3 linked regions of the Bombyx mori genome follow. The protein of the gene in region 2 binds, or shares a complex with, the protein of the main gene of each other region. Links are inferred from orthologs where the notes say so. Each region holds a gene or a part of one and is shown on either strand. Other genes may lie near its edges. The genes, in order: serine/threonine-protein phosphatase rdgC, calmodulin and transient receptor potential protein.

Evidence for each region.
Region 1: the proteins of calmodulin (region 2) and serine/threonine-protein phosphatase rdgC are in contact, whole or in part, in a crystal structure (PDB 8ZLW), measured with the Drosophila melanogaster proteins. The link is inferred for Bombyx mori from reciprocal best matches to the Drosophila melanogaster genes Cam and rdgC. Residues at the interface, in NP_001246276.1 of Drosophila melanogaster: Glu12, Glu15, Ala16, Leu19, Phe20, Leu33, Met37, Leu40, Met52, Glu55, Val56, Phe69, Met72, Met73, Arg75, Ser82, Glu84, Glu85, Ile86, Glu88, Ala89, Val92, Phe93, Ile101, Leu106, Val109, Met110, Leu113, Glu115, Lys116; in NP_788546.1 of Drosophila melanogaster: Asp2, Glu3, Asn4, Ala5, Ile6, Arg7, Ala8, Ala9, Ile10, Phe11, Ile12, Gln13, Lys14, Trp15, Tyr16, Arg17, Arg18, His19, Gln20, Arg23.
Region 3: the proteins of calmodulin (region 2) and transient receptor potential protein are in contact, whole or in part, in a crystal structure (PDB 7CQV), measured with the Drosophila melanogaster proteins. The link is inferred for Bombyx mori from reciprocal best matches to the Drosophila melanogaster genes Cam and trp. Residues at the interface, in NP_001246276.1 of Drosophila melanogaster: Glu12, Ala16, Leu19, Phe20, Lys22, Leu33, Val36, Met37, Ser39, Leu40, Gln42, Glu48, Asp51, Met52, Glu55, Val56, Ile64, Phe69, Met72, Met73, Lys76; in NP_476768.1 of Drosophila melanogaster: Gly804, Lys805, Met807, Glu808, Arg809, Ile811, Leu812, Asp814, Phe815, Gln816, Ile817, Val820, Glu821, Lys824.

Annotation. Positions count from the first base shown.
Region 1 is NC_085119.1:7,743,059-7,746,710, forward strand, and holds part of serine/threonine-protein phosphatase rdgC, read left to right. Parts: intron 1-447; coding exon 448-612; intron 613-3,652. UniProt on the Drosophila melanogaster protein: Phosphatase required to prevent light-induced retinal degeneration.
Region 2 is NC_085129.1:643,938-648,129, forward strand, and holds the start of calmodulin, read left to right. Parts: upstream 1-1,271; 5' UTR 1,272-1,350; coding exon 1,351-1,353; exon of another isoform or gene 1,354-1,928; coding exon of another isoform or gene 1,929-1,931; intron 1,932-4,192. UniProt on the Drosophila melanogaster protein: Calmodulin mediates the control of a large number of enzymes, ion channels and other proteins by Ca(2+). Among the enzymes to be stimulated by the calmodulin-Ca(2+) complex are a number of protein kinases and phosphatases.
Region 3 is NC_085120.1:6,343,027-6,347,162, reverse strand, and holds the start of transient receptor potential protein, read right to left. Parts: upstream 2,845-4,136; 5' UTR 2,729-2,844; intron 1,745-2,728; 5' UTR 1,695-1,744; coding exon 1,638-1,694; intron 1-1,637. UniProt on the Drosophila melanogaster protein: A light-sensitive calcium channel that is required for inositide-mediated Ca(2+) entry in the retina during phospholipase C (PLC)-mediated phototransduction.

The sequences.
Region 1 (3,652 bases), on a different chromosome or scaffold from region 2:
TTGTTTAAACGTCTATGTACGGCTAACCATTTTTTTCAGTCGTAACGTTCTAGGAACACTATTGAGTTCGTATGGCAATCGACATACGTGTGATTCTCGTGTAAACTTTTTATTTGTGGGGCAGATAGATTGAAGCGCCGTATATATCGACCCTTAAGAGTCTTTTGTGCCAAAACCCTGATTTTTATGTATTTTCCAAAAAATAGCGTGAAGTTTTGGTTATCGTTATCGATTTTGGAGACAATTTGGTCTCGGGTAAGTTTCGTATGCATGAAATTTTGAATATCGTTATTGAGTATAGATTTTAGAGACAATTTGTTCTCGGGCATGTTTCGTATAGACTTAGTAACATAATGTGCAGGAAGGAGATTTAAAACGTTTGATATTCTAAATTGCTTTTTGTTTTGATATGCCTGAAAATATATTCATCATACCCTTTCTTTACAGCATCGTTTACATCCAAAGCACGTAGCGCAGATACTGAAAGAGGCCACACAAGTATTGAAAAGGTTACCCAATATCAATGTGGCTACCACATCTATATCTAGCCAGATCACTGTTTGCGGAGATCTCCATGGAAAACTAGACGATCTACTCGTCATATTTCACAAGGTTAGTACTAATGGAAAGAGATTTCAAATAAAATTACAAAAAAATACCACGTGACACTTATTTGAATATTTGAATATCTAATGTCCAAGTCTATATTCGTTGCGACATTGACTATCGCTATCAAGTGGGATCCTCGCAACCCTCTCGGATCACGATTCGAAGTGTTGAAGCAATTTCTTTCCACATTTATAGATTTACGATGAAAGATTTGCCTCTAACTTGATTTTTTGTCAACGGAATCCGAGTCAAAGTATTTTTTTTCCCACATTCGAATAAAATACATCAAGAATCACTACATAGTATAAAACAAAGTCGCTTTCTCTGTCCCTATGTCTGTCTGTCCCTATGTATGCTTAAATCTTTAAAACTACGCAACGGATTTTGATGCGTTTTTTTTAATAGATAAAGTGATTGAAGAGGAAGGTTTATATGTATAATAACATCCATTACATAGTGGAGAAATCAATAATAAATTACAGTTTCCGAAGCGAAGCGAGGGTCGCTAGTCAGATCATATTTTGAAAATAATTTTACATCGCAACACCGAACCTTTCAACGAAGAATTAACCTCTGTTATTGATGAGATTGGTGAATCCATTTATATTTGTCGGAAAATACCCACTTCGCCGTCTCGTGCAAGCCTTGACATATTGACACTACCTATAATGGGATATTATCTCGAGCTAGTTTGCGTTTCACGTTAATGAGAAGGGTTTCTTTTCGTATATCGTATGATATATATTTTTTCCTTTTATATTTCTTTACTAGCTGACCCGGCAGATTTCGTGGTGCCTCAATCGATAAATAAAAAAACCTAAACTTTTGTATAAAATAAACTTAAAAGAAACAAAAGGAATCCGTCCGACGGGGAACACATCAAAAGAAAAACAAAATTGTTATTTTTATTTAATTCCGAGCGTTTTCATATTTATCTACCTTTTAAACCTTCTCTGGACTTCCACAAATAATTCAAGACCAAAATTAGCCAAATCAGTCCAGCCGTTCTTGAGTTTTAGCGAGACTAACGAACAGCAATTCATTTTTATGTATATATATATAGATAGATAGATTAAGCGTAAATGGGCGGATAAGCTTACGACACGTCCTCAAGTAAGTGGTTACAGGAGTCCACACCTGGATATTACTATGTAAATATTCATGAGTTCGGTCGCATGACTGCTACGTTGAAGAAATAGTTAGGTTGTCGGTACCCATCCCTGTGGACTAATAATAATACGGCTAGTAATTACGCTTAATAAATTGAATGGGCTTGCTTGTATGACGTTATTCCTTTATCATGATAATTAAGGAATGTACTTTTAAATGGTCTGTAACGCGTTTGTTTTTACTATTTTTCAAAATAAAATGTCAGTTAACGTGTTCGATTCCCCTCACATGTCGGTCTGGGGACCGGCGAGGGGGGCCTAAGAAGACGACGTGCAAGCTGCTCTGCACGCGTTTTACGCAAGAGCATCCGGGTGATGGAAGGCCGGCTATCCTCGACCCACGCTGGTTCTGGCCCAGCGGGGTATTCCGTAGGGTAACCCACTCTAACCGGCGCCATCTAGGCGGACTTCGGACAGTCTGCCGACCGAGAGGGCTGGTGGTCGTGGCGCCGACGACCGCTAGTCCGGCGTCCCGTGGGGGAGGGTGATGGGAGAGATGTGCTCCGCACTAAACGCTTCACCTTCCCCCCTTTGCCTTGTCATGAGTTCTGTCTCATGCGAGGTTTGCACGTTGGTTGTTGAGCGACAGGAGGTTTTACTCAGTTCGACTCTGACATACCCCGCCCAGTATCCCCAGAAAAGGGCGGAAGTCCAGCGATTTCCTCCTGACAAAAAAAAACCGTGTTCGATTATTCTTGATAGCCTATTATTTGTATGAAGCGAAATTAATGATGAATCAACAAGCGAGCGTATTTATTTATGCCATAATTTGCACTCGCTTTCGAGCGTAGGGAAAGAAACTGGGTCAGATAGACTGGGCGTGATTGACACGTTAACGGTCGCAGCGTACACTATATTGTGTTTTTGTTGTTTTTCCGTAATCGATGGTCGTGGTGGGGCTTTTTACTGGCGGTAGACCTCTTGTGAGTCCGCACGTGTAGGTACCACCACCCCGCCTATTTCTGCCGTGAAGCGACAATGCGTTTCGATTTGAAGGGTGGGGTAGCCGTGGTAACTATACTGAGACCTTAGAACTTATATCTCAAGGTGGGTGGCGCAAGGGCTCGACGAGCGAATGAACCCATAGACACAGCCCACTGAGTTTCTCGCCGGATCTTCTCAGTGGGTCGCGTTTCCGATCCGGTGGTAGTTTTTTTTATTTTTTTTTTATTGCCTTAGTAGGCAGACGAGCGTACGGCCCACCTGATGGTAAGTGGATACCGTCGTCCATGGACTTCAGCTATCCCAGGAGCAGAGCCAAGCCGCTGCCTACTGCGAAGCACTGCTCTTGCTAGGGTCAGTGTTAGCAACTCTCCGGTTTGAGCCCCGTGAGCTCACCTACAAACGTCAGGGTGAAGCTGAAATAGACATTCAAGGCTATCGGCATTTAAAAAAATTTATAATTATAATATTAATTACCTTGTAGATGTCTATTGGCTCCAGTGACCACTTAACACCAGGTGGGCTGTGAGTTCGTCCACCCATCTAAGCAATAAATAAAAAAAACGGTTGTCGGAGGTAGTTTAGGTGAAGAGGTCGCGACTGGCGACCATCGCGCTGGGAGCGGCGCACGCGTCATCCCACGATAATTGGTGTCGCCGCGCCGCGTCCACTACGGTTTGATTGATAGACCGCCTGTTACGCCGGACGACCTAGTTAATTTGCAGATATTGTTTTCCTATTTCTATTTCCGTCTTATTGATGAGGGAAAAAAAGGGGGAACTTTCAATATCGTGTCACTTTTATTAATTTATATTAATAGTGCATAAATTGATTATACTGTCTGACTCGTTGGTAGAGTAGGTAGCGCCGATAGTCGTGGGTTCGATTCTCATTTCGGGCGGACATTCGTATGAACTTAGTTGGTCTATGTA
Region 2 (4,192 bases):
TAAAATTGACAATTAATTTTTTCTCTTAAAATGAGTTAAAATTTTTAATATTATAATATTATAACTTTAAAACCATCTAATCTGAAAGGATGAAATGAACATTATTTAAATATAAGGTTTTACAGTACAGAATTCGTGATTGCCCCTTTAGCTACAAAAAATCTTTTTATGGAAATGATAAATTAAAGTTATAATCTGCATGCCTTTCATTACATTCATTTTCGTTTCTATAATATCTTCTACAATGTAATAAGAATCTCTTTGTGACTAGTACTAATCTTACGGGGTTCTTACAATGAATGCTTCATAAATATTTCCGACGTGTGTTTTTAATTACATCTCATTGCACACATTGTAAATAAAAATCCTCAAATAACAGTGTCAAGCTAGGTTTTTCTTGTATTATGTATACTGGAAATATATACACGAGACGAGAACAAATATACCTAGAGCCCCAGATGCTAAAAATATTTAAGATACTAAATCGAACCTGAAGCCTTTGTTTGATTTTTCAGGGTCAATAAACACGTAAACAATAAAGCGATCATAAACAATCTACAAGTTCATATTTTTAGTCTGCTTTTACGTATCTTTAAATAAAAGAGATTACTTTGGTAGGTACTATCATAATTCAATTGTCTATATTAATTGGTAGGAAATTATGGTAATTGTTTTTTTGTTTTTTAATTTTTTATTATTTCCGGCATTCCGATTGTGTGCGAATCATACGGAAGATGATATTGCGACAAGATAGGGCAACGTTTACTTTCAGTAGGAATGCGTGTGTGGGGGCGCGGCGTCGGGAAGCCCGTGTTATCTCGTTAGCGGCGCCTGCGGGCGGCACTGCGGCGCGGATCTGGGGCAGCGGCGCTCGGGAGCGGGCACGGGCGGGCGCCGCTCTCGCTGGCGTGGGGCTCGCGGCCGCAGTGACGCATTGCAGGTGCGCGGCGGCCAATCGGCGCGCGCCGGTTCGCGCTCTACGCCGCCGCACCCGCCCCTTATAAAACCGACTATCCTTTGCAGAGCAAATTTAATCCTGTGTTGTGCGTCCCGAAACATGGACTTGGACGTTCCGAGGATAATCATTGTGTAGACCGTTTCCGCCCTGCAGCTTGCGAAACTAACCTTCTCGTGAACGAAAGACGGATATGACAGTGCGACGAATCGAGTAGTCGATTCGGAACGATTCGCGGCCGAGCTCGATCCGAACCGCGATCCCGAGTTTCTCAGCGAGGCCACTCGCGCGAGTGAGGGCGGCAGTATCGTTTCAGCCGTCGGTCCGTGCGGTCGCTTTTGCGGCGTAGTCTGTGATTTTTTAGTGTAGCTCCAGATAATCCAAGTTAATCTACAATGGTGAGTGCTATTTCTATTGAAAGGTGTCGGGAGTGCCTTCAGAAGATCACGAGGAACAGTTTCCGGGTCGTATTTCGGAGAAGTTATGCATCGGTGTTTATAGTGATGACGGCCTCCATTATATTATTGTGATGGCCGTTTTTTTTACCGCATTGCGGATTCGAGAAGTATCAGAAGGCGTAACTGAAGCCTCACAGCGAGGCTTTCGAAATAGATAAACTTCAAAGCAGTGTTGAAAGCTTTAGATTTTGCGATATTTAAAAACGAGCCTATGCAGAAACAACGGTCGCCATAATCTAATAGGTGGTGCCGGTGAAATTACGTTCTTTAATTTGCAGTAGGCCGTTAATGTCGGTTGAAATGGCGCAGGGACGTCGTTGGAAAGAAAACAAATGGCTTTGTAGTTTGGGCATATTGTCGAAAGGCCGCGGCCGCTGTTATGAGGATCGATCGCCGGGCGCAACTGTCAAACGCTCGTTGACTCATCGTCATTATCTGATATTGTACCTACGTAAAACTCTTTTCGTTAGACCGTGTTGTTGTACATAACATATCATCTGCTGTGAAATTCCATAATGGTAACTAAACTTGTCGCTTTCATCGTCGTACGGTGCCACTTATAGTAACAATCATGTAAATAAGTTTTTGTTTATCAAACCAAAACTACAGCTGTAATTCTTTTTCTTTTTTTTTTCGAAAAAGTTTAACATGCTCTTGTTATATTTTAAAAGCTGAATTCTGGTGTCTTACACCAAAATTTCCTTTGCTTGAAGTTACAGAAATTAAGAATAAATCGACGCTTGAAAGGCAAACTTGACTAAGCGACTATAACTGCTTTGTACATAAATGATAAGCAATAACCATATTCAGTGCGCAACGAAAAATAAATTTGTAGGTCTATTAAAATCATTTCAATCATACAGCTAGATTCATTAAAATAAATTTTGTTTTCAGGTATTTCAACTTTAAATTAGTCTACTGTAAAGTTCACGCATTATCGCTTAGTCACGTTTGCCTTTCAAGCTTCGATATGAATACTTGAAATCACAAGGATCGGTGTAGTCCCTATTGCCTACAGTATTACAGTTTGTTCCTGACTAAATCCCTAGCCATTATTTTTTCTATTTTATTTCAGCGGAGAATACTCATACTCGTGTTTAAAAAAATTCATTGAAAGTTTTTTGCCAGTAAAATAATGGGGATTGGGTATGTGGGGTATAATGGTGATATTTTCCCTGCAGCCATTCAAAGTTTTTGTTATGATTTATTTATTGTTCTAAGTTCGCAGATCATGGCTATGAATGTATATAAATTCATACAGAAAGAATCTGCTTTTTAATCTTATTCTAATCTTTAACTATTTTTTTACATCCATTGTTCTAGTAATAACTGTGCTACTCAATAAAATGAAGTCATGAAATGTTAGCTTGAGTATAATAAATAATAAACTGGTGGTAAACATTGATAAATGCTAAATATGCATTCTCAACTAAGGATAAACTTGGTATAATTAAGTTAATATATTATTATAACACCTAAAGTGTAAACATATGTTTAAGTTAAATATTTTTGTATATATCTGAAATTATATTTTTTTCTAATGTGTTTGAAAATCCAAGGAGTTGAGATTAATCTGAAGCTCAATTTAATTGAGTTGGGAAAAAGAAAATATGAAAGAGTTTAGCACATTCTATCATACATTATGAGAACCATTGTTAGCACCTATTGGTATAATTAATAGAGGTCTTTCAATGTGTCGAGGCTTAGCGGAGGCATTCTCATACAACTCTCCAGTTAATATGTAGGACATTGTGGGCTGTAAGCTATGTTTCTCACTACATTAGAATATCTGATAATACAAATCATGTAAAAAGGGCAATATATGTGCAATATTCTTTTCTAAAATAGCTAAGGCCAAATTATCCATATTTAAATAAATGTTCAAGTGACATGATAGTGTAATATTTACCTACTAACTACAATTGGAACTAAAATTAAGATAATAAATTCTTGTGGCCCTGTCAAATGTAGCTTAAGCGATTCTTAGGCTAACATCATTTTGGTACCCTCCGATAGTGCTTAAAGAGACTATTCACATCTAATAAAAAAGAATCCATTAAGCATGTTTATGTATTAAAATTAATTTATTAAAAAGGGAGTGATATTTCAGCTCAAATGATTATTGTCTCTAACAAGCTGAATCTAAATAATAATTCAACATTAAAAAGTGTAGTTGTATCGGAATTGTACAAAAAATGTTAATTTATGCCTCATACATTTGTGTTCCTACGTTGAATCATAACTTAGGTATTTCATACCTATTGCCTACTGTGTAGAATACAACATAGTTATATCAAGTAATATTAGTTTTATTTTTACTGTGTCAATGTGAACAAGTTAGTGACTGTGCATCACTATATTTTTTAGATTTATTTGTTTAGTTATTCATGTTATTGATAACTAAAACATAGTTAAATTAAAAATATATTGCTCTTAGTACAGTAGTATCCCATTTAAGCGGCCGTGAATTCGAGATTGGACATACATGGAGCTTCTTGATTTTCCTGGAAAAAAACTGGCTCTTAGCAATGTGTCTATATTTGAATTTTGCTTGGCACTTGCTTTTCGCCCACAGACCATGACTTGACTAATCATCAAACTTTCGGCCCACAACAACCAAATTTTTTTATTATTATTGCTTAGATGGGTGGACGAGCTCACAGCCCACCTGGCGTTAAGTAGTTACTGGAGCCCATAGACATCCACAACGTAAATGCGCCACCCACCTTGAGATATAAGTTCTAAGGTCTCAATTATAGTTACAACGGCTGCCCCACCC
Region 3 (4,136 bases), on a different chromosome or scaffold from region 2:
AGTATTCCTGAACGGTACAAATGCCATCTGTGGGTATTATAATGCATTTAAAAAATCGATTATAACTTAAAATAATATAGCTTCACCGGAATTATTGTTATTGACCGAATTCCCGTCAAAAACATCGTCAGAGTTCAATGAATTAACGCATTTTACGATTTCCCGCTGTCATCGATGAGATAAAATGGCTTTTATTACATAAAGCACTTTCAAAGTCATAAATTAGAACTCGGGCGGCTTGATGTCCAGTTGTCTTATGGAAGCTACTCATGGAACCACTTTTACTGATCAGACGCATACCCAGCAACTCTCTCTCTCTTCAACCTCTGTCACCTGGACATATACTTACTGGTAGTAGGACCTCTTGTCTGTCTGCGCGCACTTACCACCCTGTAAGTACCCAGCCTATTTCTGCCGTGAAGCAATAATGCGTTTCGGTTTGAAGAGTGGGGCAGCCGTTATAACTATACTTGAGACCTTAGAACTTATATCTCAAGGTGGGTGGCGCATTTACGTCGTAGATGTCTATGGGCTCCAGTAACCACTTAACACCAAGTGGGCTGTGAGCTCGTCCACACGTGTAAGCAATAAAAAAAACCCAATGCTCACTATATAGGTAGGTCTTTTATTTACATTCTATTCTTTTCGGTCAAGAGTTTTTCGGCAACTAGTTGGTACATAATGCGACTAACTTTTTGAGGCTCTCGTTAGCGCCTCTTACTACTAAGATAAGGGTATCCGGTTTGTGGCTTTATTTGTTCTTTATCTGGCTATGGAAATTAGTCACTGGTTCGATTAGTACGTTTCATTAATAGAGTGGACCCTGATTAAAGATTGGGTGGTAATTTAAAAAAATGCGTATTAATTCTGTTTAAAGTGTCAAAAATGCAGAATGACGGTAGTTACCAACTGATTATAACTATTTTTTTAAATAACTGTGAACTCATATACGCTAGTAGAAAAAAATATTGCAAAATATCACATCTCCTGGATACGTGGTGATTGTATTTACTAGAGGATTCTGAAGTCGTCGTGGCCTAACGGATAAGACGTCCGGTGCATTCGTGTTGAACGATGCACCGGTGTTCGAATCTCAGGCGGGTACCAATTTTTCTAATGAAATATGTACTCTATAGTTTTTGTGGTCGCGAACGATTGGGTCTTCAGGTGATCTGAACTAATCGGCCTCAGGGATCAATATCTACCCGAAAAAGGAATAACGCGATTAGGCTACAACAAAAAACGGAGACCGGAGTATTAGATAGTAGCTCATAAATAACATCCTTTTTTTTATTGCTTAGATGGGAGGACGAGCTCACAGCCCACCTGGTGTTAAGTGGTTACTGGAGCCCATAGACATGTACAACGTAAATGCGCCACCCACCTTGAGATATAAGTTCTAAGGTCCCAAGTATGATTACAACGGCTGCCCCACCCTTCAAACCGAAACGCATTACTGCTTCACGGCAGAAATAGGCAGGGTGGTGATATCTACCCGCCCGGACTCACACGAGGTCCTGCCACCAGTAAAAAAGTAGTAACTAGTTTTAGTAAGTGCCTATAACTAACAAAGTCTATCTCATATCTCTATAACAAAATCAAAGTCTAAATAATTTTACTTAATAAAATTTACTCACGATATGGCTGATGTTAAAACGAACGTGAACATTGTTCTCTTTTTTTCGTCTCTTCATTATGTTTATTTATTATTGGAAAACAACGTTAAATCACTATACACTTTGCACTTTATGAATATGCCCGAAAAAGTTTATTATTATATCGAGGGGTGAAAAGCTATTAGGATTAAACGACACTTTTGTAACTTTACAGGAGGGCCATTTAAAGTTTAAAATTCGGAAAAAGTTGGTTGAAGTTCAATTAAACATATTAAAATGTTGATACTAATCTTTATTTATATAAAAATGAATTGCTGTTCGTTAGTCTCGCTAAAACTCGGGAACGGCTGGATCAGGCTAATTTCGGTCTTGAATTATTCGTGGAAATCCAGAAAAGGTTTAAAAGGTGAGAAAATATAAAAAAGCTCGGGATATTATATAAATACAAACAATTTTGTTTTTCCTTTGATGTGTCCCCCGTCGGACGGATTCCTTTTGTTTGTTTTAAGTTTATTTTATACAAAAGTTTAGGTTTTTTATTTATCGATTGAGGCACTACGAAGTCTGCCGGGTCAGCTAGTATCAAATAAAACGGACCTCTAATTACAAGGATAAATGTGGCGCATTAAGCGAAACGTCGTTTAAACCAAATAACCTCTCATCTCTCGATATGTGTGATGAAAAAAACGTAATATCGTTTTCATAACTTTGCAACACATATGTTTCAATACGTCATTTTATCTGTATTTGCTATATCTTTCACGTATTTCCCTTTTTTATTCATAGCAAGTTTTTGAATACGATAAAATGCACACATGCATAATTGTCACTTATAGTTTTACGAATTTATAGTTTTTTTTTTAAATAACAAATCACTTCAGGTTCGTTTTAAACACTTTCGTATATAAAAGATGTATTTTCTCGGAGCGTGGTGCAAGAGAGACGATCTAAACTTGTGTCTGAAATGGAGAACTCTCTGGGGCGAATCTCCGAGTGGGGTGAATCGAACTTAGTTCAATTCGACCCGTTGAAGACACAGGTTTACGTATTCACTGCGAAGAAGGACACCTTTGTCGTGGTGCCACAATATGTCTGATATTACACACTCTCACCATGACACTGCGCTAAAACATCGCGAACGCTGTTAACGTAAACATTGACCGATTGAAAATCTTCCGACGGATATTCGTTTGATACTTGTTTTTTCTATCGAAGATCGGACAATACTAATCCCAGAGCACGATGCTCTGTTCGCACGTTCAATCTATTTTTATATTTATACGTCTGTCGTAAATGCATATGCCGAACGTGAATTATTAGAGATTTTTTTGTTGAATTGGGATTGTTAAGTTGTATAGTATACTGTGATGTCGATATTTAGAATTGAATAATCATTAATGTAAACATATAAATTCATTTATACTCGTAAAGACTTTTTTATTCTTTTAATTTATGGTTAGTTATACCGAAAAACGTGAAACAATGATAAATTACATAATTGAAGTGATTTTTGTGGCACCTCCAGATCACCTAGGAAACTGAAAATATATTATATTTTTATTATAAATAATAAAATACTGATTTTTTTTTTCTTCTTCACTATTATTACTGAAATTTATCTGCAATAACTACATACCAACTTTATTAGCATTTTATGATTCGTTTAACTATTTTCAAAATATATCATATACGTAATTATCATTCTTTCGAAGAAGACTACATTTTTTGGACAGTTCTGTAAATAATGTGCTCTGTAATTTGTTACCACCAATTATTATTAATGTTTTCGTTGAATAGTTTTTTTAATTAATTAATCGTATTACGAACCAGGAAAAGGGTTGATAATTACTAACACAAAGAAGAGGCGGAGAAACAACCTAATGCATTTGTATTTAGGCCGTATTTTTTTCGCCGAATTGTGTCCTAAAATGTCTATCTAAACTAATAAAGTTGCTTTTACTATAATAAAGTTCACGAGGTTAATGTGACATCCATAAATTTAACTATTTTATGAACAGAGCGATATAAAAAACTATGGACGACAACATTTGTAAAATTTAATTGCGAATAAGTTTGATGTTTAAAGTTTTATTATACAAAATAAAATTGGATTGTTGACTGAACAGTTTCCCGTATTTTTTTTATATTATGTTGAAACATGGTTTAAGTGGAAATAAGTTTATTATTTTATATTATGATGGGAATGCAACTTCTTTTTTTTTGCCTACCCAAGCTGATAGTCCTGAGAGGTTATTTCAGCGTAACCTAACTAGTGGGTGAGCTCACGGGGCTCAAACCTGACGACGTTGCTAACACGAACCCTAGCAAGAGTCGTGCTTCGCAAAATCTACTACCGAATCGGAAACGCGACTCACTGAGAAGATCCGGCGAGAAACTTAGTGGGCTGTGTCTGAGGGTTAATTTTTCGTCGCAAGCGACGGGTTCGACGAGAACGATGACCGGACCACTGCGTGCAACTGCTTCGATTACATGGATTTAAGCAGGTGGCTGCATCTGTGT